Linked DNA regions of Macaca mulatta. The protein of the gene in region 1 interacts with the protein of each later gene in a pairwise test. Links are inferred from orthologs where the notes say so. Each region holds a gene or a part of one and is shown in the gene's direction. Other genes may lie near its edges.

Region 1 (7,865 bases):
AGTTTTGCTGTGGATAAAATGCTGTCAAAAACAGCATCACATGCATGTCATGGAAAAATCTTTCACGAAAGGAAGAGTTGCCAGGCACAGCGGCTCACGCCTGTAATCCCAGCACTTTGGGAGGCCGAGGCGGATGGATCATGAGGTCAGGAGTTCGAGACCAGCCTGGCCAATATGGTGAAACCCCGTCTCTACTAAAAATACAAAAATTAGCCGGGCGTGGAGGCGGGCGCCTGTAGTTCCAGCTACTCAGGAGGCTGAGGCAGAAGAATCACTTGAACCCGGGAGGCAGAGATTGCAGTGAACCAAGATCATACCACTGTACTCCAGCCTGGGGGACAGAGCGAGATTCTGTCTCAAAAAAAAAAAAAAAAAAAGGAAGAGTTAATGGATGTGGCAAACTTCATTGTTGTCTTCTTTTAAGAAATTGCCACAGTCACCCCAGCCTGAGAAACCACCACCCTGAGATCCCCCAGCAGCCATCGACATGGAGGCAAGACATAAGAACACCTACCAAAGCAGGACCACTTTGGGCCACCCTCTTGGGCTAGCTTCTGATACACCCGTCTCCAGAAATCCTGGGTACTAACAAGTGACCCACCAGCCTGATGCCTTTCCAGCCAAGTCCGCTGTGACTTTGTGCCTCAGTCTTCCCTGCTGTGAAATGGGAGAGGAAGATCCTAGCGTTCTTTGCTAGCCAAGGATTCTACCCCATGCCACTGAGTACCACTGGCCCCTGGCTTATGCTGCTTTGGGTTTCTTGTTCCCGAGGAGATTCTTTTTCTGTCTGGGATGGAAGGGAAATCTCATAGGTTCCTAACAAAAAGGATGTCCTGGGAGGGAGTGAACCAATTCATACTTGATTAACAAAAGGACAAAGGACAGAAAGAAAAGGTTGTCAGAAGCCGTGGGTTCCTGGTCTGGTGTCTGCTGCCAGCCTGCGGTGTGGCCCGAGGCAGTTTCCAATGGTTGTGGTTTTTGCAGTGGCAGAGGTGTTGCGTTTTTGCAGCCATCGGCACATGGTGGTTCTTAGTAAAATACAGCCCACAACTTCTCCGGCCCACGACGCAGGGTTGTCGTGAGCCTTGCTCATTCCAGCTTGGCACCTGCTGTGTGGGGTACGGGCAGCCTCACTGAGCTACCAGGGAGCCCCAGGAGCCACCGGCAGTTCAGCCAGGATGGCTGTGAGTAGCCAAGGGCGACGGAGGAGCTGCCCATGGCCAGGGGCCAGAGGAGGCCACCCAGAGGAAGGCACTTGTCACAGAGACCTGAGGGGTCACCAGGACCCTTGCAGGTGAGGGGAGCATGTGGCCTAATTAGGGCAGTTAGAACTCTGCAGATGCTCGGGAAGGTCAGATGTTCCCAAATATTCTCAGGGGAACTACTACCAAGGGACCCCATGTGTTGCTTTGGGACCACAGCCATGGGATCCTTTAGCTCTCCAGTGAGACTGAGCTGCTTCTCAATTGTGTCTCAGCATGGGGCAGATTTTGGAGACAGGATTTCCCCAAGCGCCATAGCCCAACCCCGGCCTCCTGTGACTTGACCTCAAGGTGGTTTTGCGTTTCCTTCAAAGATGTGGGGAGATAGCTGGAGCAGAGGAAAGAAAAGGGGCAGGTGTGGAACAGATGCAGTGGGTTGTGGGGGAGTGGGGAGGAGGGTCTCTGTGTGTGTGTGTGTGTGTGTGTGTAGCCTGTGTGCAGCCAGGGACACACCCCTTCCCCCTGGCCAATTCTTTTTTTTTTTTTTTAATGATAGAGACGGGATCTCACTATGTTGGCCAGACAGGTCTCGAACTCCTGATATCAGGTGATCGCCTGCCTGGGCCTCCCAAAGTGCTGGGATCACAGGAGTGAGATCACAGTCACCGGCGCCCTCTGACGACTCTCATTGGGGATGGGGAGACTGCTCCTGTTCCTCCTGCTTGCATCTGAGGTGTTCTCTCCCCACCCCTTCTTCCTTCCCTCTCTCCTTGCAGCAGCTCCTGTCAAAGGGAACAGGAAGCAGTCCGCAGAGGGTGACATCCTAGATCCACCTGCATCCCCCAAACCTGTTGGCGAGCAGAACGGGAGCCAGAACCCCATCCCACTGGAGGTGAGTCGAGTCCCTCTGCTGACTCCCTGGGCGTTCTTCCCTGCCACCCTCACCCGTGTTCAGCCTCCAGGTGAACCTGGACACTCCCCAAGCTCTCAGGAGGCAGATATGTTCCTACCCTGGCCCTGTCCAGCAGCCAGGGGACTGACTTGTCTTCTGTGCCAGAGAGTTATTGAAACCAAGATTGACTTGGTTTTTGTAGCAGACCCCTTTTTTCAAGTGAAGATGACCCACCACCCTGATCCATAAAACAGACAAAAGCTCCAGCCCGTGATGCAAAACCACATTCACATCCATTCATCCAGATGCATAACATGGGCATATAAAGTCACTCGGTGAGACCAACAGGGCTGTTGCGATGAGCAGAGTCTGAAGGGGGCGCTGCAGGCAGCTTTTTCGGAGCACAGTTGGCCCCGGCTTTCATTCATTTTGGCCATTTGCTTTGGTGGCACAGTCTGGAAAAGTATCCAGATTCATGCAGAAAAGTGTTTGCAAATGGTAGTTGTCTTTAGTAGCTTGCTGGAAATTCAGAGTAGAGGCCTGGAGGAGCAGATTGACTTGAGCAGCTATGAGAGAGCCTTCCTTCTGAGGTCTGCACAGACCAGCCCCAGGGCCCCGGCATGTTACGATTTCATGGGTGATATATGAGTTCGTATGTTGTTTCTTCTCAGAGGTCTTTAATACCTTAAAAACACTGAACTATTACAGAAGCTATTTACAACAAACAAAAAAAGTAACACTGAAATAAACTTGAATCAATTTTTTTTTTTTTTTAGGCAGAGTCTCACTGTTACCCAGGCTGGAGGGCAGTAGCACAATCTTGGCTCACTGCAACCTCCACCTCCTGGGTTCAAACGATTCTTCTGCCTCAGCCTCCCGAGTAGCTGGGATTACAGGCATGCACTACCAGGCGTGGCTAATTTTTGTATTTTTAGTAGAGATGGGATTTCCCCATGCTGGCCAGGCTGGTCTCGAACTCCTGACCTCGGGTGATCTGCCCACCTCGGCTTCCCAAAGTGCTAGGATTACAGGCGTGAGCCACCATGCCCAGCTGGATCAAATATTTTGGGAACACATGGCTGTCTGCACTATCCTAGTCTAGATGGTTTATGTCCTGGAAGCTGTCTGTTCTCTGACAGGGTGTAGGCCCTGGGCTGTCTGCCCTGAGCCACTTGCTGGATGAAGGCATCAGCGGAGATTGTCCCTCTGGGACCCGCAACCCAAAGTCCTGTGCCCCTGGCAGCAGTGTGCAGTTGAAGCCCAGAGCTTCACCTCCCTGTGCTCAGTACGGCAGGCCGGGGCCACACAGAGGCTCGGGGAACGTGGGCCTGACAGAGCAACCCACGGCACCGGAAAGCACCAGGCACCTTTGTTCCTTCAGCTTTTCCCTCGGCATTGGGGGTAGGGGGGAGGGCGGCGGGGAGTCCCAGGGACACTGAGCCTGCCCTCCAGGAGCTCCTAGTCTGGCAGAGGAGCTGACACAAATATGACAAATCAAGAACAAGACAGAGAAGTGATCCTGGCCTGGAGAAGGCTGGGGACTGCTCTTGTGGACACCTCTGGAGGCAGCTGCTCTGGGGTGCCCAGCCTCTGGGGGGGGGCCCTGAGCTCTAGCCCCTGCCCTAGGGCACTGAGGGCTGATACCTGTGCCAGCCGAACCCAGGAACAGTCACTCCCTCCCAGAACAGTGGCCAGGTGCTCTCTGGGAAACTGGGGTTGGGGGCAAGGTACCTTATGCCTCCTGCAGCCAGTGGTTTCTGCACGTCCCCAGCAGCCAGCCACCAACTGGGGCCCATCCCAATGCCTCCTGTTCTCTCCCCAGGACTCCCCCGAGGCAGGCGGGGAGCGGGAGGAGGAGCAGGAGCGGGAGGAGGAGCAGGCCTTCCTGGTCAGCCTCTACAAGTTCATGAAGGAGCGACACACGCCCATCGAGAGGGTGCCCCATCTCGGCTTCAAGCAGAGTGCGTCCCTGGGGTGCAGGCAGGGAGGGGGGCCCAGCAGGGAACCCCACCCAGGCAGGGCATCGGGCAGGCACTCCCACTCTGGGTGACCCAGGTTGCAGATAGAAAGGAGGCCTCCCTCCAGGCTGCCACCGGGCCAGCAGTGCACAGGCCACAGCCTGCCCATCTACTGCAGTGGCCCTGCCTGGGTGTGTGCTGCTCTGTGCCCGCGTGTCAGGGCACTAGGAAGGGGTGGCTGCCCCACCTCCCACGGAGGCTGACGGCCAGCCTGCCCCTCTCTCCCCAGTTAACCTGTGGAAGATCTACAAGGCAGTGGAGAAGCTGGGGGCCTATGAGCTGGTAAGGAAGGCACCCCCAGTCCTTGCCAGACTGCATCTCCCTGGGGTGAGCCTGCAACGCTGTCCTTGCCTCTGGACAGGAGAAGAGCCAGGATCCCCAGTCCTGCCTTCCTCCCCGCCTCCCCCGCTGGTTCTCTGCTGCTCAAAGCAGCTTTTCAGCCTTCCCCATCTGTTCTGCCCGCCCCGTGTTGGAAAAACTGCTTGGGCCAGCAGTCCGTGGCCCTGGGAGGGAGAATCAGCCGCTGTCGGAGCCGCAGAGCAGCTGCCAAACCGCAGTGCTTTGGTCCCTGCGAGGGCGGCCAGAGCCGCAAGGACCCCGCTGCCAGGGGGCGCTCGCGGCCGCGCCCTCACCAGGTGCCCTTGCAGGTGACCGGGCGCCGCCTCTGGAAGAACGTGTACGACGAGCTGGGGGGCAGCCCGGGCAGCACCAGCGCGGCCACGTGCACGCGCCGCCACTACGAGAGGTAGGGGGGCGGGCCCGGGTGCTGGACGCCGCCTGCCCTGCGGGGCTCGGTCGACCTTGCCGGGAGGGCTGGGTGGACTCTGTCCGGAGCGGGCGGGGTGGGCCCCGTCCTCAGCGCTGCGGGGGCCCAGGCTGGCTGGGCGCAGCCACCGAGGGAGCTGAGCTTTGGGGCGAGGAGGAGAGGGTCTTCTTCGGCGCCGGCGGGAAAGAGGGGCTCAGAGGAGGCCACAGAGGCCGGTGGAGGGGATGGGCGCCGACCTCCTGGGGGACATGCCCGGTTCCTCCCCAGGCTGGTCCTGCCATATGTGCGGCACCTGAAGGGGGAGGATGACAAGCCGCTGCCCACCTCCAAGCCCAGGAAACAGTACAAGATGGCCAAGGAGAACAGGGGGGATGATGGGGCCACCGAGCGGCCGAAGAAGGCCAAGGAGGAGCGGCGCATGGACCAGGTACGCCTGTGGCTGGGTGGGGCCACCCTGTTCCCTGCCTCTTGCAGCCCCCCCACCCCACAACTCCCTGTGGCCACGGAGCTGTCTGCTCAGAACACACCGAACATGCACCCAGGGCGGGACTTGCAAGGTTCCAGGTTCTCCACAGTGCGCAAGTTCTCTACTTGTGCAAGCAGACTGAACTCCAGCCTGCACCCCACCACCAGGCCCTGTGTCCCAACCTGAGGCTGTGTCCGCTCAGAGGACAGGGCTCCTTTGGAAAATTCTGCACAAAGGACTGCAAGAGCTAGCGGGGAACCTGGGCAGGCCTGAAAGTGCCGCCTCCTGCTCCTGAGGTCAGGATGCATGGCTCGGGCAGCCCTGAGGCATGGCTTTCTCTCATTCCAGATGATGCCAGGAAAGACCAAAGCAGATGTTGCTGACCCAGCACCGCTTCTTAGCCAGGAGCCCCCCAGAAACAGTACAGAACAGCAGGGCCCGGCCTCTGGGTCTTCTGTGTCCTTTGTGGGTACCAGCGGCTGCCCTGAGGCCTACAAGCGGCTCCTATCCAGCTTCTACTGCAAGGGGACACACGGCATCATGTCACCACTGGCCAAAAAGAAGCTCCTGGCCCAGGTGAGCAAGGTGGAGGCCTTGCAGTGCCAGGAGGAGGGCTGTCGCCATGGGGCGGAGCCCCAGGCATCCCCAGCTGTTCACCTCCCAGGGAGTCCCCAGAGCCCCAAAGGGCTGACTGAGAATTCCAGGCACCGGCTGACCTCTCAGGAGGGATTGCAGTCCCCGGGTGGCAGCCTCAGGGAGGAGGTGCAGGCGGGCCCCTGCCCGGCAGCCCCCATCTTCACGGGCTGCTTCCACACCCACCCCACCGAGGTGCTGAAGCCTGTCAGCCAGCACCCCAGGGACTTCTTCTCCAGACTTAAAGATGGGGTGCTATTGGGGCCTCCTGGCAAAGAGGGGCTGTCAGTGAAAGAGCCCCAGCTGGTGTGGGGCGGGGACGCCAACCGCCCTTCTGCATTCCACAAAGGCGGCTCCAGAAAGGGCGTTCTCTACCCCAAGCCCAAAGCCTGCTGGGTGTCCCCCATGGCCAAGGTCCCACCCGAGAGCCCCACGCTCCCACCCACCTTTCCTGGTAGCACAGGCCTGGGCAGCAAGCGCAGCCTGGAGGAAGAGGGTGCTGCCCACAGTGGGAAGAGACTGCGGGCCGTGTCTCCCTTTCTTAAGGAGGCAGATGCCAAGAAATGTGGGGCCAAACCTGCGGGGTCCGGCCTGGTCTCCTGCCTTCTGGGCCCAGCCCTGGGGCCTGTGCCCCCAGAGGCCTACAGGGGCACCATGCTGCACTGCCCGCTGAACTTCACTGGCACCCCAGGCCCCTTGAAGGGCCAGGCTGCACTCCCCTTCAGCCCCCTGGTCATCCCAGCCTTCCCAGCCCACTTCCTGGCCACTGCGGGCCCCTCACCCATGGCCGCTGGCTTGATGCACTTCCCGCCCACATCCTTCGACAGTGCTCTCCGCCACAGACTTTGCCCGGCCTCATCTGCCTGGCATGCACCATCAGTCACAACCTATGCAGCGCCCCACTTCTTCCACCTCAACACCAAGCTGTAGGCCAGCCCATGTGGAGTCGACCGGGGCCGACAGCGGGCAGGTGCTGCTGCTAGAGGGCTCTGGACTAGTGCCTGTTACCCAGGACACCCAGGCCATGCCCCTGGCTGGGCAGCCTGGCACAAGTGAAGGAGGTGGTGGGAAAACTGGGTGTATCTCAAGGCAGCAGGCTGAGCCCAGAGCAGAGGACACAGTTGTTACAAGGCCCTGGGAGAGGGTGGGCAGCTCCCACTGCCCCAGAGCAGCGCTCAGAGCACCCAGGTTGCCCACGGAAAATCCAATAAACAGAAACGAATGGGAATCCACATGGCCCTGAGGTGCACATGGTATGGGCCTTTGTAACGGCAGGCAAGGTGGGGGTGAGCTCGTGGGTGGGGCTGCCATTAGGGGGCCAAGGAGGTGGACCTGAACGCCACCACCCCGAGAGCAGGCCTAAAGCAAACCCCAGCCTCTGCCCCTGTGTAGGCAGCCTCTGACATCCATCCTTGCCTTCGGTCTGGCTTCCTAGTTGAGCCTCGGGAACATGTCGCCTTTCTCATTGTGGAGATGGGGATTGGAGACCCTGGGAGGGTCAGTGACTTGCCCAGGTTCCCCTGGCAGGAGGGGCAGAGGAGGACTGCACAGGCCGTGTGACTCCTGTGCTCTGAGGACCCCAGGCTGTTACCAGTGCCCCCTGGGGTTTGGGGGTGTGACCAGGACGCCTGAGTTGGTCTGCCTTGGTGGTGGATGTAGATTATCTGGGGCCTGTAGCCGAGCCCTCTCTGCAGCACCATCCCACTTGCCTGACCCACATGGACGGTCCAGAATTGGACTGGATTGAAATCACAGGAGGTGCCTGGAGGGAAAGGGGAGCAGATGCCCCGTCTCGGCCTGGGTGTCTGCGTCGGTAACAAGCCCCTGCGGTTTCAGATGTGGTTGCCCCAGGGCTCATCTAGAACCCCCGTGGCCTGATGCCCTGCTT
Region 2 (7,919 bases), on another chromosome or scaffold:
GGAACAGTCCCAAACTCATTCCTGCCACCCACGGCTTCCTGCCACTGCTCTTCTGGAGAATGCCATAGGCAAAGCTGGAAAGCGACCAAAAAACAAAAAACAAGTTAAAGATACATATTCCCGCCGGGTAAGGTGGCTCACACCTGTAATCCCAGCACTTTGGGAGGCCGAGGCGGGTGGATCACCTGAAGTCAGAAGATTGAGACCAGCCTGGTCAACATGGTGAAACCCCGTCTCTACTAAAACTACAAAAATTAGCTGGGCGTGGTGGTGAGCACCTGTAATCCCAGCTCGGGAGGCTGAGGCAGGAGAATCGCTTGAACCCAGGAGGTGGAGGTTGCAGTGAGCTGAGATCGTGCCATTGCACTCCAGCCTGGGTGACAAGAGCAAAACTCTGCCTCAAAAAAAAAAAAAAATACGTATTCACCCAAGCTCACCTTGGAATTACCCTTAGATTTACTTCAGAGGATTAAAATATAGATAGATAATTATCCTGATTAACAACATTAACACTTAAAGTGTGTTAGATACTGTGCTTAACTCTTAAATCTCCCCTTAGTGCTCATTCCAGAAGAGCCTTGTCACTCTGTCAGCCAATCCTGAGAAGGAATTTTATCACTTCTTTTCCAGCCAGCTCTCGGGCATAGAGAGAATGAGGAAAGGATTCCACTATAGCCTCACACCCCCAAAACACATAAACACACACTAGGATGTCCTCATCTGTTGAGATGATGTTCTCTGGGAGCCTGCAGTATCCAGGGCCAGGGAAAGACCAACGGGTGTGGGCGTTTGGAAGAAAAGAAAGAAGTATGACTGTTGAAATGTGCATGGGGAGAAAAGAGATTGCCTACTGGAAGTCAAGGTGATTGGGTGTAGGGAAAAAGCTGTATGTGGCTTCTCAGCCCAACTGGGAGGAGGGGAGAGGGGTGGGAAGTGGCAGGAAATGGCGAAAGCCTCAGGAATGTTTCCAGCAGGGAAGGCTGGGCAAACGGGGCCAGGAGGAATGCCCAGACAAGAACTATGGTTAGGGGGAGGGGAAGAGACAGAGAAGCAGCAACTGAACTGTCCCTTAAAAAAAAAAGAAAAAAATCAAACAACAAAAAGGGCACTATTATCTACCCCCACTCCAAACCACCGTTTTTCTGGTAGAAAACTTGCTCCTGTCACACCCACATGCCACACACCAACAAATCCATGGTCCTATCCACTTATGGATAGGCAGGCCTAGAGCTACTTCTGGGATGGAGTTGGTCCTGGGAAGGGAAGGCCAGGAGATGAGGCTGGGAGTCTGACAGCAAGTCTCTCTCCCTCTGGTGCCAAACCCTAAGTTCAGCCCCTTCAAATAGTTCTACCCTTGAAGGAGGTTAAGAAAGAGGAAAATGGGGCCGGGCGCGGTGGCTCACGCCTGTAATCCCAGCACTTAAGGAGGCTGAGACGGGTGGATCATCTGAGGTCAGGAGTTCGAGGCTAGCCTAGTCAACATGGTGAAACCCCCCTCTCTACTAAAAATACAAAAATTAGCCGGGCGTGGTGGCGGGCGCCTATAATCCCAGCTACTCGGGAGGCTGAGGCAGGAGAATCACTTGAACCCAGGAGGCGGAGGTTGCGGTGAGTCGAGATCGCACCATTGCACTCTAGCCTGGGCAACAAGAGCGAAACTCTGTCTCAAAAAAAACAAAAAGAAAGAAAGAAAAGAAAGAAAGGAAAACGGCTGCCTTTAATCTCACTCTTCACAGTCAGAGATAGGAACTTTGACTTCCCACCTGGGGGAGCACGAGAGTGCTCGGAAAACTGATCCCAAAGCCCAAAAAAAGACAAAGGACAGGAAAATATAAGCAGGTGGAGTTTCAGGGATTGACGACAAGGCTTTACAGCTGATGACCCAGGTCCCACAAAGCTCGTAAGGGGGCGTGGTCCGCCAGGACGCGAACTTCAGACTTCTATGCGGGGAGGCTTTCTGGACAGTCAGACACGGATTACGAACAGGGCGTGGCTTCGGAGGGGCGGAGCCCCGAAGAGGCGTGGCTCCAACAAATTCGAATCGTTCTTTGAGGAGCAGGGTTTTGCCCTTTTGGGAGATAGGCTTTTTGACAGGAGTTAGCAGAGGATCGTTGCTAGGAGGCGGAGTTTCGGAGAATGGAAGGAGTAACCAAGGGTTTCACGTAGTAGGGCTTGGAACGTGTCTGGGGGTGGGACTTCCAGGAAAACTGGGCGACAGGGTGGGGTCGGAGACAAAAAATAAAAATCAAGTCGGGGTTCGGGGGAGCCCCCAGAGGTTGGGAGGTGGGACTTCCGGGGAGAGGGGTCTCAGGGGCGGGACTTATAAATGAAGACCGGAAGTGGGGTCCCGGGAGAGGGGTTCCGGAGTGGAAGAGTGAGTCACCTAAGGAGAAAAAAGTCAAGACTCACCAGGGCCTCATGGAGTCTCCGCACCGCACCGCGGGCCGATTTGGTTCCGGATCACGCCACTGCCAGCTTAGGTTACCGCTCCAACTTTCTCCCCGGGCCCTGCCTCCCTGGAGAAACTTTATTACACTCACTTCCGGCCTCACTAACCCCTGACCCTCTACCTCAGGGTCCCTCCTTCACGCTTCCCACTTTCCCGAGTTAGCCAATGGCAGCGCGAAATCGTGCACAGAGGCAGTGGTGGCCAATAAGACGCCTACTTTCGACCCACGCTCGTTCTTGAGAAACGTAAGAACTGCCCTCCAATAAGGACCCAAGAGAAGTAAATCTAAGCCAATCGGAGGCTTGGAAGTACAGCTGTCCCGCCTTGAGCCAAACGGACCAATAGGAAGTGCGGGCGGCGTGTTTGAAAGCGAGGCCAAAGTGGGTGGGAGCGCGTGCTGCTGGGAGTTGCTTGGAGGTTGGCGGCGCGGGGCTGAAGGCTAGCAAACCGAGCGATCATGTCGCACAAACAGATTTACTATTCGGACAAATACGACGACGAGGAGTTTGAGTATCGGTTAGTGCTGGCGCGGGGGCAACAGCGAGGTCGTGAGCTTTGACCGCTGAGGAAACAAGCAATTAGTAACAGGAACTGAGGCGATAGAATTGGCGCATGCGTACGAGATGTGAACGGGCAAGGGTGTGATATTGGTGGAAGGCGTAAGGCGCATGCGCGGAGGTGGGAGCCTCTCATAAAACAATAAAGTGGTTGCGAATTTGGAGTCTGCCCTCAGTTGAGAGGAGGGAGTGGTAGGCGTGGTTAGAGTACTGACCACCCACACCCATGAGGGTTTCTGGATCATTCTCTGAACTTTATTGGGCAAACTTAACTTGCCTTGTAGAAACTGTTAGTTTTACAGTAATCCTGTGGAATCCAGTGGGAGAACGTAGCAAAAGCGGAGCTTGGAGTTTCCTCGCGTCCCTAATGCGAGAGTAGCGCTGAGAGAGTTGAATATTGCTTATTAACTCGTGAAAAAGACAAGGGGCATGGTTGTCTGGCTTGTGTTAGGAAAGGGACCGCTTGGGACTGAAATGGAATAAAACTGGCTAGGAGCATTGAGAAAATACTTAATATGGGTCTAATAGATGCCCTTTATCAAAGGAAACGGTTACGGAATACTTAACAGGTTTCAGGTGTTCTGCAAGGATAACACATGGTCTCTGCTGTTCACAAACTTAAAACTGTGAGTGATACCGACGGACACCAGAAAGGTGATAACACCCTTTGCTAGGAGCCATTACAGGGTGTGATGGGAGCACACGAGACTTGATAAGGAGAGGGAACTGGCGACCCGAAGGCTGCGGCTTCCTAGCTGTGCGCGGGTGTTGGGGTGGGGCTAGAAAGTCAGTCCCCTACTTTTGCTAACTCCAGGACCCCCCCCCACCCCACCCTTCGAGAACCCCCGCCGCCACCGCCTTAGAGGCTGACTTCTTACTTTCGGTCGGTCTTCTTCCCTGGGCTTGGTGTGGGGGCGGGGGAGTGTCCTAAAGGCCAATTCAGTGTGATGACTCTTTCACCACCATTGAAAACGAAACCAGTAGTAAACTAAATACGCGTGTTTTCATTTATATGTCGGAGATGAGAACACTGGGACAGAAAGAGGGGAACAATAGACGTTGGGGCCTACTTGAGGGAGAAGGGTGGGAGGAGGGAGAGGTTCAGGAAAAAAAAAACTGTCGGGTACTATGGTTAGTACCTGGGTCATAAAAGAATCTGTACACCAAACCCCCGAGTCAGGAGTTTACCTATATAACAAACCTGCACACGTACCCTTGAACATGAAACTTAAAATACTGAGAGGAAAAAAAAAGGAAGAGGGAAAGTTGGGGAAAGCTTGCTAGAGGACAGAGCCTGAGATGAGACTCTAAGAAAAAGGTATGTGGGAGAAAGCACCTCTTGACTGAAATTGTTTAGAAGACACTGGATAGCCATCTGCCAAGGGTGGGGATGATGGAATCCTGGCACTGGATACAGCATTCGGGTTTGATAAATTTCAAGTGCATAATCTAGATTGGGAATAAGGGAAGACACAGGACTCCAAAATGTTGGCATTATGCTAATCTACATTGTGATAATTAAGACCACTTCCTGGTTTGTTATCTTGTCTCCTCAGATGGAGAACATAAAATGAAAACTTGCTTTTCTTGTCTCTTCACCCAGCCTAGTTCAGGGCTTTAGGTCTTCAGAGAACTCGATGTGCATTGACACATATATAATCATCTTTATACCAAGACGACTCCAGATCCTCTTTGATATAATTAACTGTCTTTTCCTCAGCTGTTTTCCTCTACATCTGAACTAAACTAACTTAAAACTGTATGTGCTTATAAGAGATTTGCAGAGCTGGGAAGGAATCACCATTTCATCCCCTAGAAGATGAAACTTTTAACTTGGCAATGGCATTTTGGTTTAAGAGGGGTTTTTTGGTCTATGTATTGAAGCCAAATTTTGTGCCAGGGTGGTGGTAGGATGTGAGCTGTTTTCATATATTTGGACTAGAATTTTTTCTTTTAGGAGAATGGGGGGGAAACCACTGTTACTAGCACAGAGAGAGAACTTAGTACATTTTCACTGAGCATGATGAAGACTATCTGGATTAGTTTGAGTCACATCAGGGTAATAATTTCTTTGCCATGAAGGGAGACTTATCCTTGGTTAGAAAAGCACGGAATTTCCCAAAAAAAGTCTCAAGGTACATCCCTCCAGAATTAGGAAGATAAGATTCAGGATAGATTTTTTTTTTTTTTTTTTTGGAAGAGACAAGGTCTTGCTTTATTGCCCAGACTGGAGTACAGTGGCTATTCACAGGCACAACCATTGTGCACTGCAGCCCTTTTTTTTTTTTTTTTTCTCTTTTTTTTGAGACGGAATCTCACTCTATTGCCCAGATCTCAGCTCACTACAACCTCCGCCTCCTGGACTCAAGGGATTCTCTCCTGCCTCAGCCTCCCAAATAGCTGGGATTACAGGTGCATGCCACCACACCCGGCTCTTTTTTTGTATTTTTAGTAGAGATGGGGTTTCACGTTGTTGGTCAGGCTGGTCTCAAACTCCTGACCTCAAGTGATCCACCCACCTCAGCCTCCCAAAATGCTGGGATTACAGGCATGAGCCACTGTCCCTGGCCTATTCTGTATTTTAATCAAAGATTTCAAACTTCATACTGTATCTTTGTCAAACTCCTGAGTTCAAATTACTCTCCTGCCTCAGCCTCCCGAGTAGCTGGGACTATAGGTATGTGCCACCATGCCTGGCTTAGATTTTAAAGGATATTTCATTTCATCCTTTGTGATGACTTGTCCACACAGTACTCCATAAAAGGCGTTTCCTCTCCACAGAATAACTTCTCTTCCTTCCTTCTAATTATTAACACTGTGTGCTCCGTGGGGCTCCCATTATATTGTAGGCAATCAACTAGAAGACTATAAGGTCCATGAAGGCAGAGAAAATGTGCCTGGAACTTAAGTGCTTATTCACTGGAATTATTCACTAATTTGTATTTTTCATATACTCTCAGAATTTATATAACATAGCCTGTATTTCTAGCTGCTGCTACCCCACAATAAAATTATATAAACTCTGACATCAGAAACTAGTTTTTCTTTCCTTTCTTGGCCTTGTAAACAGGCAGTTGTCTGAGACTATATCTGGTACTAACAAATTCCTCACTTCTCCGTTTCTGTTACAGACATGTCATGCTGCCCAAGGACATAGCCAAGCTGGTCCCTAAAACTCATTTGATGTCTGAATCTGAATGGAGGAATCTTGGCGTTCAGCAGAGTCAGGGATGGGTCCATTATATGATCCATGAACCAGGTCAGTGCACTGGCTAAAAACAACCATATAGAACTGCTACACTGAGAGAATGAAGGAATAAGATTGTATAACCCAAATAGGGAGATAGGAAATAGTTTATTGGTTTCTTCCCCCTCTAGTCATGGGGGATTAAAAAAAAAAAAAAAAACTAGTGACCAAAAATAAGATTAAAAAAGTGACAGGTTCAGAGACAACCTGTCACTAAAAAACCTCCTGTAATCTTCCATTCAATCAGAGGGTATTCTTTTTAAGGCCACATATAGCCTGGTCATAGTCCCTGCCTCATTCTCCATCAGAAAACATTCTTGGATGTATTCCAAATAAGCAAAGGAAAGTATATTTATTGATAAGGCACCAGACACCCAGCTGCCAGGCAAAACTTAATAAAGGACACCCTGGGGCTGTATAAACATAGCAAAAGAACTGATATTAACAATTCTGTACTTGGCAGACAGTCCAGATTCTGGGTCTGCTTCTCAAGGCCATATGCTTAAGTCTTTATTTAGTTATAAAGATCTGAGTGGGTGATAGCTGGGGAGATGGTAGTGGAATACACTATAGGTTGTACATAGAATGGTGTGCGCTTGTCTCTTAGATTTCCCTCACTCTTTCAGAACCTCACATCTTGCTGTTCCGGCGCCCACTACCCAAGAAGCCAAAGAAATGAAGCTGGCAAGCTACTTTTCAGCCTCAAGCTTTACACAGCTGTCCTTACTTCCTAACATCTTTCTGATAATATTATTATGTTGCCTTCTTGTTTCTCACTTTGATATTTAAAAGATGTTCAATACACTGTTTGAATGTGCTGGTAACTGCTTTGCTTCTTGAGTAGAGCCACCACCACCATAGTCTAGCCAGATGAGTGCTCTGTGGACCCACAGCCTCAGCTGAGTGTGACCCCAGAAGCCACGATGTGCTCTGTATCCAGAACACACTTGGCAGATGGAGGAAGCATCTGAGTTTGAGACCATGGCTGTTAACAGAGATCATGTAAACTTGCTGTTTTTGTTTTTTTCCTGCCGGGTGTTGTATGTATGGTGACTTGTGGATTTATGTTTCAGTGTACTGGAAACTTTCCATTTTATTCAAGAAATCTGTTCATGTTAAAAGCCTTGATTAAAGAGGAAGTTTTTATAATCTAATGCTGTAATTGTAAGGGTTTTTTCCCCTCACTCAGGGTGAGCATCATCAATATCATGGTTCTAATTACATGCCCTTCAGTTTGATAATGAAGCTCAGCTCTTTGCTGATAATGAGGTTTATTTTAACATTCAGATAACTCGTTTTTAATCTACTTTAAGCAGACTTGCTGTCAAACATCTACTGAAACATATTTCACTCTAACTACTGGCCCGAGGTAGAGGTTATATAGGGACAACTTCATCTCATCCAAACAAATGAACTGCTTCCTACAGTCGGGGTGCTGCCTTTAACATAGTCCCAATATTTGAATGGCACACACGGGTAAAAGGATGCTTGTGTGTCCCAATTCCTAATAGGAATAATAGGCACACCTATGACCTATTCACTGTGCCCCTCGGTTGGGGGAGGTTTTCAGCTGTTCTTAACTTTGGTTGGGCATTGGAATCACCTGGGGAGCTTTACAAGTACTGATGCCTGCTTGAGTCATTCTTAAGGATTCTTAATTGGTCTG
Region 3 (7,928 bases), on another chromosome or scaffold:
GAGCCAGAAAGTATTCATACTGCTACTCCTTACGAGATAGCCAAGAAGCGTCAGGTCAGTAACTGGGAGTGGAGAGGGAGTTTTGTTTTGAAACTGTGCACTGTCAGGTATTTTTCAGCATCCATTTATACATTAATGTGGTTCTACAGGACCCCGGCTGTGGAAGTAACAAATTTCTTCTCCCTGCAGACTCTTGGATGACTACCTACATCCCCAACTTCCCGGTTAGTTTCCTCCACAGGTTTCCATGAGCTCAGTATCCCAAGACAGCAAAAATCTGGTATACCCTGTAGAAGCAGGGGGGTAGCAAATTTAGGCTCTCTTCGAAATTACTTGTATAATACGAGTGCCTTCGCAGCTTAGCCCCAAAGTGCTACTTACGTTTCCCAAGGTTTTTTCTATTCAAACCATATTTGGTTTCAGTCCCCTTTATGGACATAGGGTAACAGAAACCTCCATCATTCAGGAGACCCTTTTGTTCAGTGGTAACATCTTGTACTTGGAAAAAAAATTTTTTTTTTTTTGCGACAGAGTCCCATTCTGTCGCCCAGGCTGGAGTGCAGTGGTGCGATCTCGGCTCACTGCAACCTCTGCCTCTCGGGTTAAAGGATTCTCCTGCTTCAGCCTCCTGAGTAGCTGGGATTACAGGCACACACCACCACACCCAGCTAATATTTTTGTATGTTTTTTTTTTAGTAGAGACGGGGTTTTGCCATGTTGGACAGGCTGGTCTTGAACTCCTGACCTTAGGTGATCCACTCGCCTCGGCCTCCCAAAGTGCTGGCATTACAGGCGTGAACCACCGCGCCCGGCCATAAATGTTTAAACAAGAAAGTGATTCTACTCTTCTAAGCGTACAGAGACCAGACCCGGTGAATGTAACTGGGGAAAATCAAGATGGTACCTCTCTGCATTAATCCTGCCAGACACCATATTTTAGGAAGGTCCATGCTCCAGGATGCATTCATGTCTTGGATACAGTGTGAAAATTAAAAAGTTTAGAGGGTAGATGTAATTGTGGCAAGTGACTTGCCAATAAAGTAGGTGCAGCTATAGAAGCTGGCATAGGTATATCCTTAATGGTGCTTTCTCCCTGGGCTTGTCTCTTGTTGTTTTTTTCCCTATATTCAGAGCTCTGAGAAGTGATAAACACCTCCAGCTTTCTTAACATCCTCCCCACACCATCTCACCATATCCATCTCCCAGCATCCATCTGCATTCAGCTAAGGGCGGGAAACTGACCTAGTGCCTGTGCTGCAGACCATTTCTGAGGTCTCCACCCATCCAAGGAGGCAGAGCCATCATTACTGTCCTCCATGCCTTCAGCAGCCCCCCTCACAGCTAAGGTACATACCACCCCTTCTGCCGCGCCCCCTTCCACTCCTGGCACCAAGGTCTTTTGCTGCTTATGTCTAAAGGGATCGCCTATATTTAACTGCCTCAGTGACCTAACCTCTTTCTTCTCATGTGCCAGATGTTAAGATGAAGGAGGAATACAACACATGCTCAAGCCTCAGCTGTTTAGTTGTTTTCACTGGGGCTCGCTTTTCTGGGACGGTATTTATTATCAGACTGGCAAGCCTAACTCCATAGGTTTACAGGAAGTAGGGATATTTTTATAAAACAATTGTGTCCTCCCCACATTTTGCTATGTTAATATTTGCCTCTAACAATTTGCAGCTGTTTCACTTTTTCCTCATTTGTCTCTAAGTTGAAGGCCTTGTTGGAGGGGACAGAGCACAGGAACAGCCTTGACAGTCTGTAATTATTGTACAAATATTTTAATAGCATATAAATAAGTATATTCCTTTTATTTTGAAACAAAAATGATCAGACACTGCCTTTTGTGTGTTTGCTGCCTGTGGCACCCTTTTTGAAAAAGACTGTTACATATTAAAATAGTGTACATACATATAAATATTACCTCTTTTGCTGTACAGTTGTGATAGAGACTGAAGATTTTATTTTTTGTGTGCTTTTTATAAGAAAAAATTAATACACTAAAGAATCTTGCTGATGTGATTGTAATGTACCTATGTAACTTATTTACTTTTGAATGTTCTTCTGTATCTTTAAACCTTTTATTAAATAAGGTTTTAAAAATTCAGAGTTGAATGCTATGTTCTCTCGGGATTTTCACCATCTGGGGTTGATGTAAGTGGGCCTTGTCTTGCTTGCAGGGAGATTACTCGACATTTTTGAGCCATAAGGATTCTCTTTTAGCAGCCTATTGTCGATGCCAGCCAGGAAAAGGAAAATAACACTAATGTTTGCCTGGCTAAAAGATGACTCAGTAGACACAGACAAACAGATGTTTACAAAAGTTTAGACAAGAAAAAGTCTAAACTCAGTATCTCACACAAAAAATGGCGCACTCCGGCTTCATTGGGATAAAATACGCAGGGTGCACAGTGTGGTCAGGGGTAACGGGAAGCCAGGGTTCTGAGGAGAGTATTTTCACGTGCAGGGTGGACTGGCTGGGCAACCCGAGTAGACAAGTCCACCATGAGGGATGCCATGACTTCCAATAGTATCATCTTAAATCCACTCCAGGATTGGGTTATTATTTTTAAAACACGGTGCTTAGCAGTATTTGTTTGCTGTTAAAATGGAAAATTATGAAAAAGGAAATGCGCCATCAGAGAAACAAATGCCCGAGCCCCTCGCTGGCACCATGGCAACCGCTCGACCCCCGCGGGCCGCCGGAGCAGGCGTGATTCGCGCCAGCTGGGGCGCCGTTGCCATGGCGACGCCCGAGCGGCTCCGCCACAGGGGCGGGACGGGGCGGGGCTGACGCCGCTCGCGGGCTGGCCCCATCCTCCACTGCAGCAGTAACGTCGCAGCGGGTTGCGGGTAGGACTCGACGCTGGGGCAGCCGCGCAGCGCCTGAGCCGCTGCAGGCCGCCGCGGCCGCCGCTGCCCACCCTTGCCTGTGCTGTTTCCAGCCTCGCTTCTCCGGCTTTCCTGCTCCTCTGCTGCCTTCGTTTCTGGTCCTCGGCCGTCCTCGCCGCCCGCCCAGAGGAGTCCCCGCGCCCGCCAAGAGGAGTCCCCACGCCCTCCAAGAAGCCGCTCTCCGCTGGCCCGCAGCCGCCGCGACTTCGGCACAGTCTCTCCCTCTGGCTAGTCTCCCAAACGGCCGCTCCTCGCCCGCGGGAAGACCAGGCTGCGACCGCGAACGCCCGATCCTCTCCAGGAGCCGCAGCGAGCGCCCGGCGGGCACGCCCCGCGACCACACCCCGGCTGCTTTCGACCCAGCGCGCCTGCCTTCGCCGCCCGCCCTCGCTCCTTGCCCGCTGCACGACGACGCGACAGCCCGGCTGCAAGCGGCAGACCCGACCGGACCCGGACCCAGACGCAAGATGGCGACGGCCGCGTGACTTCCTCAGCGTCCCCGAGCTCAGCTCCAAGTGTACCTACGGACTGACTGGGGGGGCAGAGAAGGGCGAGATCAGGACTCTGTGTCTTTGTTAGTCGTGAATGCATGAAGCCTACCTCCCTTGGGCCTACTTGGTGGGAGTGTCTGGTATTGTTCTAAGGCCAGGAGTACGGTGAGCCACAGTCTGTTGGTAGAATTGGCGTCTTGATAGTTGAGAAAATGGCGATGACACTGTTGGAAGACTGGTGCCGGGGGATGGATGTGAACTCCCAGAGAGCTCTGTTGGTCTGGGGCATCCCAGTGAACTGTGATGAGGCTGAAATCGAAGAGACCCTCCAGGCAGCGATGCCCCAGGTCCCCTACCGAATGCTTGGGAGAATGTTCTGGAGGGAAGAAAATGCGAAAGCAGCCTTATTAGAGCTCACTGGCGCTGTCGATTACGCCGCGATCCCCAGGGAGATGCCGGGCAAAGGAGGGGTCTGGAAAGTGTTGTTTAAGCCCCCAACTTCTGATGCTGAATTTTTAGAAAGATTGCACCTCTTCCTAGCTAGAGAGGGGTGGACCGTGCAAGATGTTGCCCGTGTCCTTGGGTTTCAGAACCCTACTCCGACCCCGGGCCCAGAGATGCCAGCAGAGATGCTAAACTATATTTTGGATAATGTTATTCAGCCTCTTGTTGAGTCCATATGGTACAAGAGGCTGACACTTTTCTCGGGGAGGGACATCCCAGGGCCTGGAGAGGAAACCTTTGATCCCTGGCTGGAGCACACTAATGAGGTCCTAGAGGAGTGGCAGGTGTCCGATGTAGAAAAGAGGCGGCGGTTGATGGAGAGCCTTAGAGGCCCTGCCGCTGATGTCATTCGCATCCTCAAGTCCAACAACCCCGCGATAACCACTGCCGAATGCCTGAAGGCGCTTGAGCAGGTGTTTGGGAGCGTTGAGAGCTCTAGGGATGCCCAGATCAAATTTCTGAACACTTATCAGAACCCGGGAGAAAAATTGTCTGCTTATGTCATTCGTCTGGAGCCTCTGCTACAGAAGGTGGTAGAGAAGGGGGCCATTGATAAAGATAACGTGAACCAGGCCCGCCTAGAGCAGGTCATTGCTGGGGCCAACCACAGCGGGGCCATCCGAAGGCAGCTGTGGCTTACCGGGGCTGGGGAAGGGCCGGCCCCAAACCTCTTTCAGTTGCTGGTGCAGATCCGTGAGGAGGAAGCCAAGGAGGAGGAGGAGGAGGCTGAGGCCACCCTTCTGCAGTTAGGCCTGGAAGGGCACTTCTGAGTGCCAGAAAAGACAGCTTTAGTGCAGACCTAGATCACAGCTAGTTTTCTTGTCCCTGTGGGGGTCTTACAGATGTGTCTCTGAGTAGTAAAGGCTTAGCCCTGTTCCGTTTTGTTGTTTTTTTGGAGGGGAAGGTTAGTCAGGCCTGAGTATTCATGTAACATTCTAAAATTGTGCAAGCGAGCACCGTGAGCTGCTACAATGCAAGTGGGTCTTGCTGGCTAAAGTGCCAGGTAAAGGGTTGGTTGGACACAGCGCTTAGTGCACGCTGTCATCATGGACATCATAATCAGTTGTGAAAAACACACGAACCTCTGACACTTCCTATTCCACACTGAATGTGAAATTGCATGTGCAGATGTTTACTACGGGGCCTGGCTCACAGGAAGTGTTCAGTAAAAGTATGAACTATTAGATTACTGATAGCGCAGATAGATTTTTCTTTACCATAAATAGTTCCAGATTTATATTGATGGAAGGAAATGTGCATTTATTAGCTATTACTCAACTTTACAATGCAAACATCATATTTCTCATCTTTAAACATGTCGATCAGTTTAATTGAAAAGTATTCTGAGACTGCAAAATGGGGTGTTAAAAAAATACTGCAATTACGGAGCTGTGTAAACCAGTTTCTCATTGCATAAGATACAGATGTAAATTGCATGGAGAGGTTGATATGCACCTGTACAGTAATTCACTTCCCCATTTCAGATCTTTGTCAGAGAATAGTTCTTGTTCATACTGAGTGTTCTAAATTTGAAGTTATATATACAAATTAAAATATTTTAAAAATTCTGTTGTCTTCTCATTTTTCTGGCATGTATAAACATTTTTAGCCTAAGTAAACTCTGTCCTTTTTTCTTATGAAGACTTTGTCATTAAACCATTTATTTTACTCTTAAGCTTTGTATGATACTATGTGAATTTAAATGGCAAGTCCTTTTTTTTCCTTCCCCTCTTGCTGTCATCTTAACATTTTTTTGGTTTATTTTTTAATTTTTTAAATTTTTTATTTTTATTAAGGGCAGAGAGGGTCTTGCTCTGTTGCCCAGGCTGGAGTGCAATGGAGCGATCTCAGCTCACTGCAACGTCTGCCTCCCCCGGATTCAAGTGATTCTCCTGCCTCAGCCTCCTGAGTAGCTGGGATTACAGGCATGTGCCACCACACCTAGCTAATTTTGTATTTTTTTAGTAGAGATGGGTTTCACCACGTTGGTCAGGTTGGTCTGGAACGCCTGACCTCAAGTGATCCACCTGCCTCGGCTTCCCAAAGTGCTGGGATTACAGGCATGAGCCATCTAGTTTTTTCTACTAAAAATACAAAAATTAGCCGGGTGTGGTGGTGGGTGCCTTTAATTCCGGCTACTTGGGAAGCTGAGGCAGGAGAATCACTCTGGGAGGCAGAGGTTGCAGTGAGCCGAGATTGCGCCACTGCACTGCAGCCTGGGCAACAGAGTGAGACTCTTGTCTCAAAAAAAAAAAAAAATCTAGGCCGGGCGCGGTGGCTCACGCCTGTAATCCCAGCACTTTGGGAGGCCGAGGCGGGCGGATCACAAGGTCAGGAGATCGAGACCACGGTGAAACCCCGTCTCTACTAAAAATACAAAAAATTAGCCGGGCGCGGTTGTGGGCGCCTGTAGTCCCAACTACTCGGGAGGCTGAGGCAGGAGAATGGCGTGAACCCGGGAGGCGGAGCTTGCAGTGAGCCGAGATCGCGCCACTGCACTCCAGCCTGGGCGACAGAGCGAGACTCCGTCTCAAAAAAAAAAAAAAAAAAATTTAGAGACCAGATATGGTGGCTCACACTTGTAATCCCAGCACTTAGGGAGGATTGCCTGAAGCCAAGATTTTGAGACCAGCCTGGGCAACACAGACCCAATCTCCACATACATTTTTAAAAATTAGCCAGGCATGGTGGCACAGGCCTGTGGTCCCAGCAGCTCAGGCAGCTGAGGTGGGAGATTGCTTGAGCTCAGGAGGTTGAGGCTGCAGTGCGCCATGATCGCCCCACCGCACTCCAACCTGGTGATAAAGTGAGACCCTGTTTCTCAAAAAATTTTTTTTAGAAAATCTTGAAATGGGGTTCAGGAGGTTATCTGGCAATGTTTTTCTCTTAAGATCACTTTTCAGCTAAACATTTTATTTCACTGAAGAAATAACTATAATTCATCACACCTGTGTAAAATGACGGCTTATTTTACAGCAGCCATTTATAACAGGAAGATATAAAAAGGGAAATACAGCTATAAAACATGTTTTTTTTTGCGGCAAAGATTCAGTGATTGAAGATATCCATCTTTTGAGGTCCTCAGTGAATCTAAAGTTACTACATGAATATTGTGTTCAGTGAGCTTTTCCCTAATAAGGTTTTAAAATTATAGCTGAGCCATTCGACAAGTTTATAAGGGGTAATGTATGTTCTTCCAGATTTTTCGGTGCACATATTCGCTTCACGTCTGTACATCCCTTTCCTCCTGTCACAAACACATCTCCACATACTTGCCTTGGTTCCCAACAGATACGCTCAGCTTCACTTACCACAAACACTCAGCATGTCTTCACCCGCTACCCACCATTCACATAACTTTCCCCTCCATTCCCACCAGCATCAGGCATGCACTCAGCCGACCTCTCACACTCTGGACACATTCACTGTCATCTCCCCCTCAGTACTCCCCGGATAACATACACCCTCCTCCCGTTCCATGTACACTATGCCACTCTCCCAACCTCAACATACATTCCCACTTCTCCTCACACCCACACACACTCCCACCACCAAACACCAACGAGCCACCACATATATGTACACACTCCCACTCCACACATATACACACATACTACATTTTTTTTTTTTTTTTGAGACGGAGTCTTGCTGTGTCACCCAGGCTGGAGTGCAGTGGCGTAATCTTGGCTTACTGCAACCTCTCTCTTGGGCTCAAGTGATCCTCCTGCCTCAGCCTCCCAAGTAGCTGGGATTACAGGTGTGTGCCACCACACCCGGCTAATTTTTGTATTTTTAGTAGAGACAGGGTTTCACCATGTAGGCCAGGCTGGTCTCAAACTCCTGACCTCGTGGTTCGAAAGTGCTCCAAAAGTGCTGGGATTACAGGCGTGAGCCACCGCAACCGGCTCACATGCTAGATTTTTTTAAATGGGCCAGGTGCAGTGGCTCACACCTGGGATGCTGAGGTGGGAGGATGGCTTAAAGACAGGAGTTCAAGACCAGCCTGAGCAAAATAGTGAGATCTTGTCTCTACAAAAATAA
Region 4 (7,905 bases), on another chromosome or scaffold:
AATATTTATTCAATTAAACCATCATATACAGTATTAGCTTAATGACAGCTTTTATAAATTTTATTTTTTATAACAATTACCTGAAAGCCTTTCAGGTCACTTAAAATGTGAGTACCATCTTGGGATTTTCATCTAACTATAAATTCTGGAGGATCAGTTTATTCTGCATTATGGTGTCACAAGTGAAATAGATAGAAGTGGCTTCAAGTAACAGAGGGGCTACTAACAGTTGAATGACTTTAAATTCTGTTTGCCCAAGTTGAACAGTGGGAAAATTAGGGAAATACATACCTACCCCTTTCTATACTGTGTAAGATCCATGAGCTAATTTATGTGAACAAAATTCCTTATGATCTTAGAGTTCCATTAGTTCAAATTATCATTATTAGGATGATCATTATTATATTTGGCAAATTTTCTGTCTAGTTCCTAGTCTATTTCAACTCCTTCGGCATAGATGATTGCGCAAGAAATAATTTGTTTTTGAATGGCTACAGTAATGTTTGCAGAATATATTAAAGTCAAAAAACTCACTTTCAAACCATTTAAAATTCTCTTATATGTTCTTTGTGTTTATTTGGCATATGTACATATGTATACATATATTAAGTGCCAATAAAATCGAAATCAAATATAAGGAAGGTTCTAATATGAGTATCTTTTCTTTATACTATAGTTGGCCTCAAACACTCCTCCTCTCTTTCTTACCTGTTCTGTTGACCTTCTAGATGAGAGTTTCAGAGAAACAACCAGAGGTAGTAGCTGTAGCAAGATAGCAGCTGGGACCATACGGATCTCAGCATCCTGCCTTATGGCCATTATCTTTGTTTCTATCTTTATGCTGCCACTATGTTTCCTTCTTGTGCTCTCTCTGCGTCCTCTCCTCCCGCCTCCTCCTCTTCCTGACTCCAGCTCCCATGGCTCCCTGTAACTCACCCATCCTCCTTCTTCACTTTTTTTCCTCTATTGATATCAGATAAGCAAGATTTTTCCTAATAAAGACAAAAATTTTTAAATATTTTTAAAAGTGTATATAGCTATGCAGCTACTATACCCTAATTCTCATAACCGCCATTAACAAATGAAGAAAAATATAATGTATACATTATCATTTGTATACATTATCAATTAGAGCGTATTAGATCGTAGGTCCCTTACGGGCTGGAAAAAATAGATATTTAAAATAAAGGCAACAATTTTCTCATTTTTCTATGTAGGAGTAGGTTGTTGCTGGAACAAAACATAATTTGAGATTAACAACAAGAAAGACTAGTGAGTAATACTCTTCCCCCCTTCCCCAACTGCTGAAAGTGAAAATCATGTCAGCATCAAGTCATTTTTGCCACATCCCTTGTTAACAGCTTTTTCAGGGTGGGTCATAGTTCTGTGTTTTTGTTAGTGTCTTAACTCCATAGTGACATGCTTAAATCTTATTCCACATTGATTTTGTAGTGTGTGTGTGTATATTTTTAGAATATCTCCTGATGATAGAATTAAATATTAAGTTATTATCAACTTGTCCAAAAATGTATAAGCTTTGAATGAAGAATAAATTTACTAATATGAGTTAATAATTGATTTTTTTTTTGTCTTCAGAATATGTGTATGATGTATCATTGTGAATGTCTAAAAAAGTAAACTTACTGTCTGCCTGTCTCCAGAAAAAAAAAGTGGGACCTAATCAAACTGCCGTGGGGTCAACCCTTGTGGTTTTAAAGGCTCTTAATGTTGTCCAGCTGCAAAATAAAAGGAATTGGGAGGGGAAGTTGGAAGGAGTGGAGGGGGCTGGGGGGGAGGAATGTGTGGAAAAGAACAGGGAGTCTGGCTTTTATTTTTTTTTTAAGTGAGTTCAGTGCCAGCCTGGACATTGGCTGTACAGACTATTGAGCCATTGTCTGCTCCATTTCCAGAATAGCCCCCAGTTAATCACTTCGGCTTTGAAGGGAATTTCCTCGTGGAATTCTCCACAGAAAATCTAATCAACTGACCTGCCCTCTCAACAATGGAAGGCTTTTTTTTCCTCTCTTTCCCTTATTGGGGCGGGCTCTGTAATGTAGCCTTTTGTGCAGAATGAACCCTCCCAGTAGGAGTGGAGAGCGTGTGTGAGTGACTGAGTGTGTGTGTGTGTGTATGTGTGTGTGCATGCGTGTGTGAAGAATGCACACTATCTCGTGTTGGTGAGTGTGTGCTTACTCCCTGACCAGATGCTGCGGTGCACGGGGCAGCCACCATCTCTGCATGCATGTCTGTGTAAGTGTCTCTCTCTGTGTGTGTATGTGCCTCTGTCATTTCATGTCAAAGGTACATTACCTGATTACCTTTCTCGCCTGCCAGATTTTTATCTAGATAATTGGAACTGCTATGGAGGCTGTGCCTTGCCAGCCAGCTTAGAATCTGTAAAGCCATAGTTTGTCCACCTTGTTATCTGTGGCTGCCTGGGCAGAGGAAATTAAAGAGATCCACAGCCAGGGGAGCGCTTCCTACTCCTGACCTCCCCAGCGATCCCAAACAGGACAGTTTGTTAGTAGCGTCTTTTTGTTGTTATGTTTTGATTTCGTTTTGGGTTTTTGTGCGCTCGTGGGTGTTATTTTGGCATGCGGATACCTATTCCCCTCCACATCGCACATCGTGTTTTATGGAGTTTAGAGCTGAGGAAACTTTGGTTGGGTTGCCAGGACGTTCGCACCACTTTGCGGAAAGCACGATCTAACAGGGAGACGGACAGAGTGAGTGACAAGTTGTTTACAGGTTTCCTTGAAGGGGCCTCTGCTATATTTCAATCTGTCAAAGTTGCTTTTCTTCCCTCAGAACAATGCCCGATTGTTGTGTGTGTGAGTGTGTGTGTGTGTGTGTGTGTGTATGTGTGCGTGTATTTCCGTGTGTGAACGGAGAGAGCCTAGAAAAGGGTGAGAAGGAGTAACAATTCTTTGTGTAAAAATGCTATTGCTAACATTTAAATTTTTTGCTTCATTAGTTAATAAATGCAGTTTAATCGAGCTTCTGTTATTATCTAGACTTGGTTTTTAATCAGCAAATATGTTTTACAAAATCATACTGTTATGCGTGTGTGTGTGTGAGTTTTATGATTCAGAAGACAGAGTATGGGAGACGTGTTAAATGAGTTGACTTCTCACATTCAGTGATGTCTAGAAGAGAGAATTAAAAGGAAAGGACAGGCACCCTGAGGTTGTCTAGAGCCTTGCAGCCGGAGCGTGTGGCTCCGCGGAGGGGGGAGCAGCCAGACCCGGCTGCTGGAAGTGCACTGCCCCTTTAAGAGACTGGTCAAGGAGTCCTAGGAGAGGGAGAGGAGGGAAAGGAGGGGGGGAGAAAGAGGGAGAGAGAGAGACAGAGAGAGAGAGGGAGAGAGAGAGAGAGGGAGGGAGGGGGGGAAGAGAGAGAGAGAAAATCAATTGGTTTAGAAGGTTTGGACTCACTTGACAGGTTCAGTTGGAGACGATCATAGGTGGCTGCTGTGACAAAGGGAAATTGTGCTTTTCCAGCATGCTTACTGACCCTGATTTACCTCAGGAGTTTGAAAGGTGAGTACAGTTTTTTCCCCCTAATATATTGAAGTACAACTCTCCCATTTTACAGTAGTCTCTGAATCATTGGAAGATGCTCCCCCAAAACGTGTTTGTTAGAGAAGCTTTTAGCTTGGGCTTCTGCAGTCTTGTTAGCTGATTTTTTTTTGTTGTGGTTGCCCGGACCAAATTGAACTGATTTGCAAAGTCTCCGGGATTTCTGCTAATGTTTTCAGGTTGCGTCCTGTAACAGCAAATTAAATGAACCTTAAGCATCTCTCTCTCTCCCCAACTCGTTGCTTCTCTCTTTCTCATTCACTCTCTTATTTTCTTCCTTCATTGATTGTTTTCTCCCCACCTTTTAAAAATGCTTTTGTGCAGAATGTTACCATTTTCAGCATCTCGGTCTCATGTAATTTCTAGGGTGACAGAAGGTTTTAGTGGTGCTTTAAACGGAGGCTATAAGTTCCTATTTGATCCTTCCGTAAAACTTTGGAAGCTGCTCAGTAAAGCACATGACCTTTTGTTGATATAAGAGAGCGTTTTTTTTTTTTTTCCTCCAAAGAAAATTTAACATCACCGCTATATTAGATTACTCCATAAGTGTCAAAAATAGGGGGGGAAAGGGGATAAATGGGGCTGTTCCCTTTCTAAGTTTTAGTGACCACTTTTTGTGTTAGCTGTCTTCACTGAATTTTAATTTACTGTATTTTCCCCTTTTGCTATGATGGGAATAGTGTATTTGTAATTAAGTTGTTCCTATTTAGAGAAGTATCTGCAACATCCTTTTATTTGATGTTGTTGCAAGTAAAGCAGGGCTTTGAAAGAATTTTAGCCCTCTTAATGTTCCTATAAGTACACATTGCAATTTTTAAATTTGAGTTCTTATCCCAGCATAAGTTCATTTTTTTGAACTATAAATAGAATTTTGTTTGCCATTAAAAAGAATTCAAACTTTGTATTCTGTATGGTGAATTAAAAAAAAAAAAGCTAAAAAAAGCCAGGATGCATGATACCCAGGCTTTTTTTCATTTTCATGAAAGCTACCTTCTGTATAAACATTTGTTGTATCTGACTATGCAATGCAAGCTAGGTGCTAGACCAGCTGGTTAAAAATATGCTAAGTCAAGCTGTTCATCGCTCAAACGACTGAATTTGATATGAAAAGACGAAAAAAGAAAGGACAAAGATTAAAACATTCTAGAAGTGAAGCAATGGAAGAGAAAAAGAGTATTGAGGATAAAGTAACGCTTGAATGTGGTCACATATTAGAGAAGCCAGTATCAAATCAGGGAAGAAAGTAAAATAGCCAACATATATACTTCAGTGCTGTCATCTTTCTTTGATTTCTTCTGTGTGTTTTTTTGTATAATTAAAGTGCATCTTTACTAGATAATTCCAGCGAATGTTTGAGCTTTCTTTACAGTTTTGAATTAAAATTTTCAGTTCTATATATTAACTCTTTAATTAGTGAGCTTTTATTTGCAAATATAGCCTTATTTCATAGGTAGATGTTGAAGTTATTCATAGTGAAACATACTATACATTACCTAATGTAGCGATTTGCTAATTTAACACAGTTAAGTTTTCTAGAATGCACAGAGTAGCACTTAAATGATAATATTCTTTAATTCTAATTATACTTTTTGCAAATACAACTCTGAGACTGATTTGTAAGCCTGTTAACAGATTGTACTTATAAAAAGGTAGTTACATATTAACAGGCTGCAGCCTATTTCTCTATATAGGCAAGCTTCCTGCTGTGAACTTTATTTGTATTTTTTTTTTCAATTATCTCTTTTTAAACTAAACTTTTCCCTTTCCTATTCTGATGCTCAAATCTGTTAACATCTTTTTTCCTCCTGGTGGGAATTTCATTTTTTTTTTTCACCCAGAGGCATGCTTTTCTAACTAGCTAATTAAATAAGCAAGTGATAATCAATAGGGTTGTTAGTATGACTATCAAATTTAGAAATATTAGTATCTAAAATAATTCTGAAAAATGCCGTACACTATAACGTTCCTTAATAATTTCCCCTGTGGCTGTAATTGGTAATACATACAAAGATGTCAGCAAATCATTACTATTTGTTTACATTGAATTTGTACGGGTGAGTGTCTCTATAGGCAACCATGCATGATACAGTATATCATGTAGACACAATATTGAATATTTGTATTCTCCAAAGGAGGTATTTATGATGTAATGAAACTATCAAATATAATTAGATTTTTTTTTTTTTGCCTTTTCAACTGTTTGCAACTTTCACTGAATAAATAGGTCATTTCTATTGACTGTTAATTTTTATTCTGTTGGATCACTTGCTATAGATGATTTTCCGCTTAAACTTAGAAATCTAAAAGAAGACTGCTAAATTTCTTTGTGAAAAAGAGAACTTTGATCTAGAGAACATAATAAATTGCTTGGGGTTCATGTACTGTAAAAGTTTTATGTGATCATTTTTAACTAATTTCATTGGTAGAGTCTTGTCCATCTTTTATTCTTCCCAGCCTGTAGACTATTTGAACTTTAAGGAATATTCAAAACTTAAATATCAGGATCAAAATTTGGGTTCAGATTTGTATGTGTCTATATTATCATCACTAGAAATGAACATGGTCAGTACTCTCAGACTAACAAGCAGTTATTAAATAGTTAAGAAGTAGTAACAATTTCATTGTTTGTTAAAAATATGCAGGAGGTAGTGCAAATAGAACAGTGATTCTAAAAGGTAAAGAACTTGAAATATTTTTATTTTCAAGCATCCTTGTGATAGACTGATTATGATTACTGAAAAACACAATTCCCAGGTGGGAAGCAAATGGGCGTATATGTTCTAAAGATTATTCGTAAGGAAACTCTTTTACATTTTACCGTTTAGAGAAAACATAGCTGGCAACATGGTCTAAATGTGAGTAATAGCATCATTAGAACGAATGCCCGAAGTTTCCCCAAATATTTAAAAGAAGTCAATAAATGTATATATTTAACTGAAAGTAGATAATGAAAAATTGTGACTTAAGGTTTTCCTTTGAGAATGTCACCTATTTTTTGATATTCCAAGGAAGAAATGAAAATATTTGCCTTAAATGTCAATATTAGTTTGTTCATGATAAGTAAAACAGCCATTTTTGGTAGTTTCTCAATATTCTATTTCTTTCCTTTTTATTTTATCTGTCCTCTTTGGTTGTAATATAATAGTTTTGTGTCTAAGCTACTCGTTACAGTTTCTAATTGCTTTATGTTAGAAACTTAAATAGCAAGTGTAAGATGATTGCTTAAGAAGACAGTTCTGATAATGTCTAGAAAGAAGAAAAAAGTTGGGATTGAAAGTCGTGGGATTATGCAAATTAGGTTGTTAGTATCACCTATTTGATTGCTTCTCCCAAATTGGTGCAGACAACAGACAGCAGATTTTCTAGATGTTGAAAGGAACACTACAATAGTAAAACCTTCTGCAATAAAAATTAACTTATTTGCTTCATATTTCCATCAAATTTATTTCTGGTCATGCTGACTAAATAATTTTTCTTATTAGGAAACTTTTCAGTATTTTTCTGAAGAAAGAAATATACATCAGATCCTTTTACAAACTAATTCATAAAATTCCATGAAAAGCTACTGCTGGACATTTGCAAAAAACTACTCTTTGACATTAGTGGTATTTTAGTTACCTAAAGTTTGACCATAGTAATGAAATATTTATTACACAGATATATTTTGCTTAATTAAAGACTTTAACAACAACAACAAAAAAATCCATTGTGCTCACGAGTGATAAGTGCATTCAGGTTAGCAGGCACACTCTAGGTGTGAATCACAGAAAAGTTATCTGTTCACATTCTGTCACCTAATGGCAACTGTAAACCTGTAAGTTTGATATTATGTTTTCAGGATGTTCTGATAGCCTTTGGTAATTTTATTTATTTGTTATTTACTACTACTTTGTAGAGGAGACAATGTCTACAACTGAGTATAGATTTTAATTACCATGTCAATAATTTGCAAGCTAACTGAGCTAAGACATTGGTTTGGAATGCAGCTTGCATGAGGCAGTTCATAAACCACATTTCTATCACACTTATGCTGAAATACTGTCCCGAAGACTTGGCAGGAGACCTGACTGATTACCAAGAACAATTAAGGGTTAAATGTCAGGTGACATTGTGTACTGCTCAGTGTTTAGCAGGTTTGATAGACATAGAAATGTGCAAATATTACGCTTACTTCACATGTTGGTGTGTTCTTATCTTGTGTTTCTCAAATATAATAAGCACATGTTAAAGTATTTACCTGTTCTTAGGAAGCTTTTGGCAAAAATCTTGTATAGGCATCATACATGAGAGGCAGATAATAAGACCTGTTCTGATTCTTTAGCACATT

The links.
Region 2: the proteins of ARID5A (region 1) and CKS1B interact in binary tests that used the Homo sapiens proteins (3 or more experiments, as listed by UniProt). The two-hybrid records come from large-scale screens. The link is inferred for Macaca mulatta from reciprocal best matches to the Homo sapiens genes ARID5A and CKS1B.
Region 3: the proteins of ARID5A (region 1) and PNMA1 interact in binary tests that used the Homo sapiens proteins (3 or more experiments, as listed by UniProt). The two-hybrid records come from large-scale screens. The link is inferred for Macaca mulatta from reciprocal best matches to the Homo sapiens genes ARID5A and PNMA1.
Region 4: the proteins of ARID5A (region 1) and SOX5 interact in a two-hybrid assay, tested with the Homo sapiens proteins (2 studies listed by BioGRID and IntAct). The two-hybrid records come from large-scale screens. The link is inferred for Macaca mulatta from reciprocal best matches to the Homo sapiens genes ARID5A and SOX5.

Annotation. Positions count from the first base shown.
Region 1 is NC_133418.1:5,207,086-5,214,950, forward strand, and holds ARID5A (AT-rich interactive domain-containing protein 5A), read left to right. Parts: upstream 1-3,580; coding exon 3,581-4,055; exon of another isoform or gene 4,056-4,341; coding exon 4,342-4,394; exon of another isoform or gene 4,395-4,759; coding exon 4,760-4,857; exon of another isoform or gene 4,858-5,145; coding exon 5,146-5,305; exon of another isoform or gene 5,306-5,692; coding exon 5,693-6,907; 3' UTR 6,908-7,209; downstream 7,210-7,865. UniProt on the Homo sapiens protein: DNA-binding protein that may regulate transcription and act as a repressor by binding to AT-rich stretches in the promoter region of target genes.
Region 2 is NC_133406.1:112,023,986-112,031,904, reverse strand, and holds CKS1B (cyclin-dependent kinases regulatory subunit 1), read left to right. Parts: upstream 1-2,831; 5' UTR 2,832-2,906; coding exon 2,907-2,965; intron 2,966-6,137; coding exon 6,138-6,265; intron 6,266-6,879; coding exon 6,880-6,932; 3' UTR 6,933-7,393; downstream 7,394-7,919.
Region 3 is NC_133412.1:146,881,307-146,889,234, reverse strand, and holds PNMA1 (paraneoplastic antigen Ma1), read left to right. Parts: upstream 1-2,792; 5' UTR 2,793-3,595; coding exon 3,596-4,657; 3' UTR 4,658-5,463; downstream 5,464-7,928.
Region 4 is NC_133416.1:26,281,072-26,288,976, reverse strand, and holds the start of SOX5 (transcription factor SOX-5), read left to right. Parts: upstream 1-3,428; 5' UTR 3,429-3,501; coding exon 3,502-3,539; intron 3,540-7,905.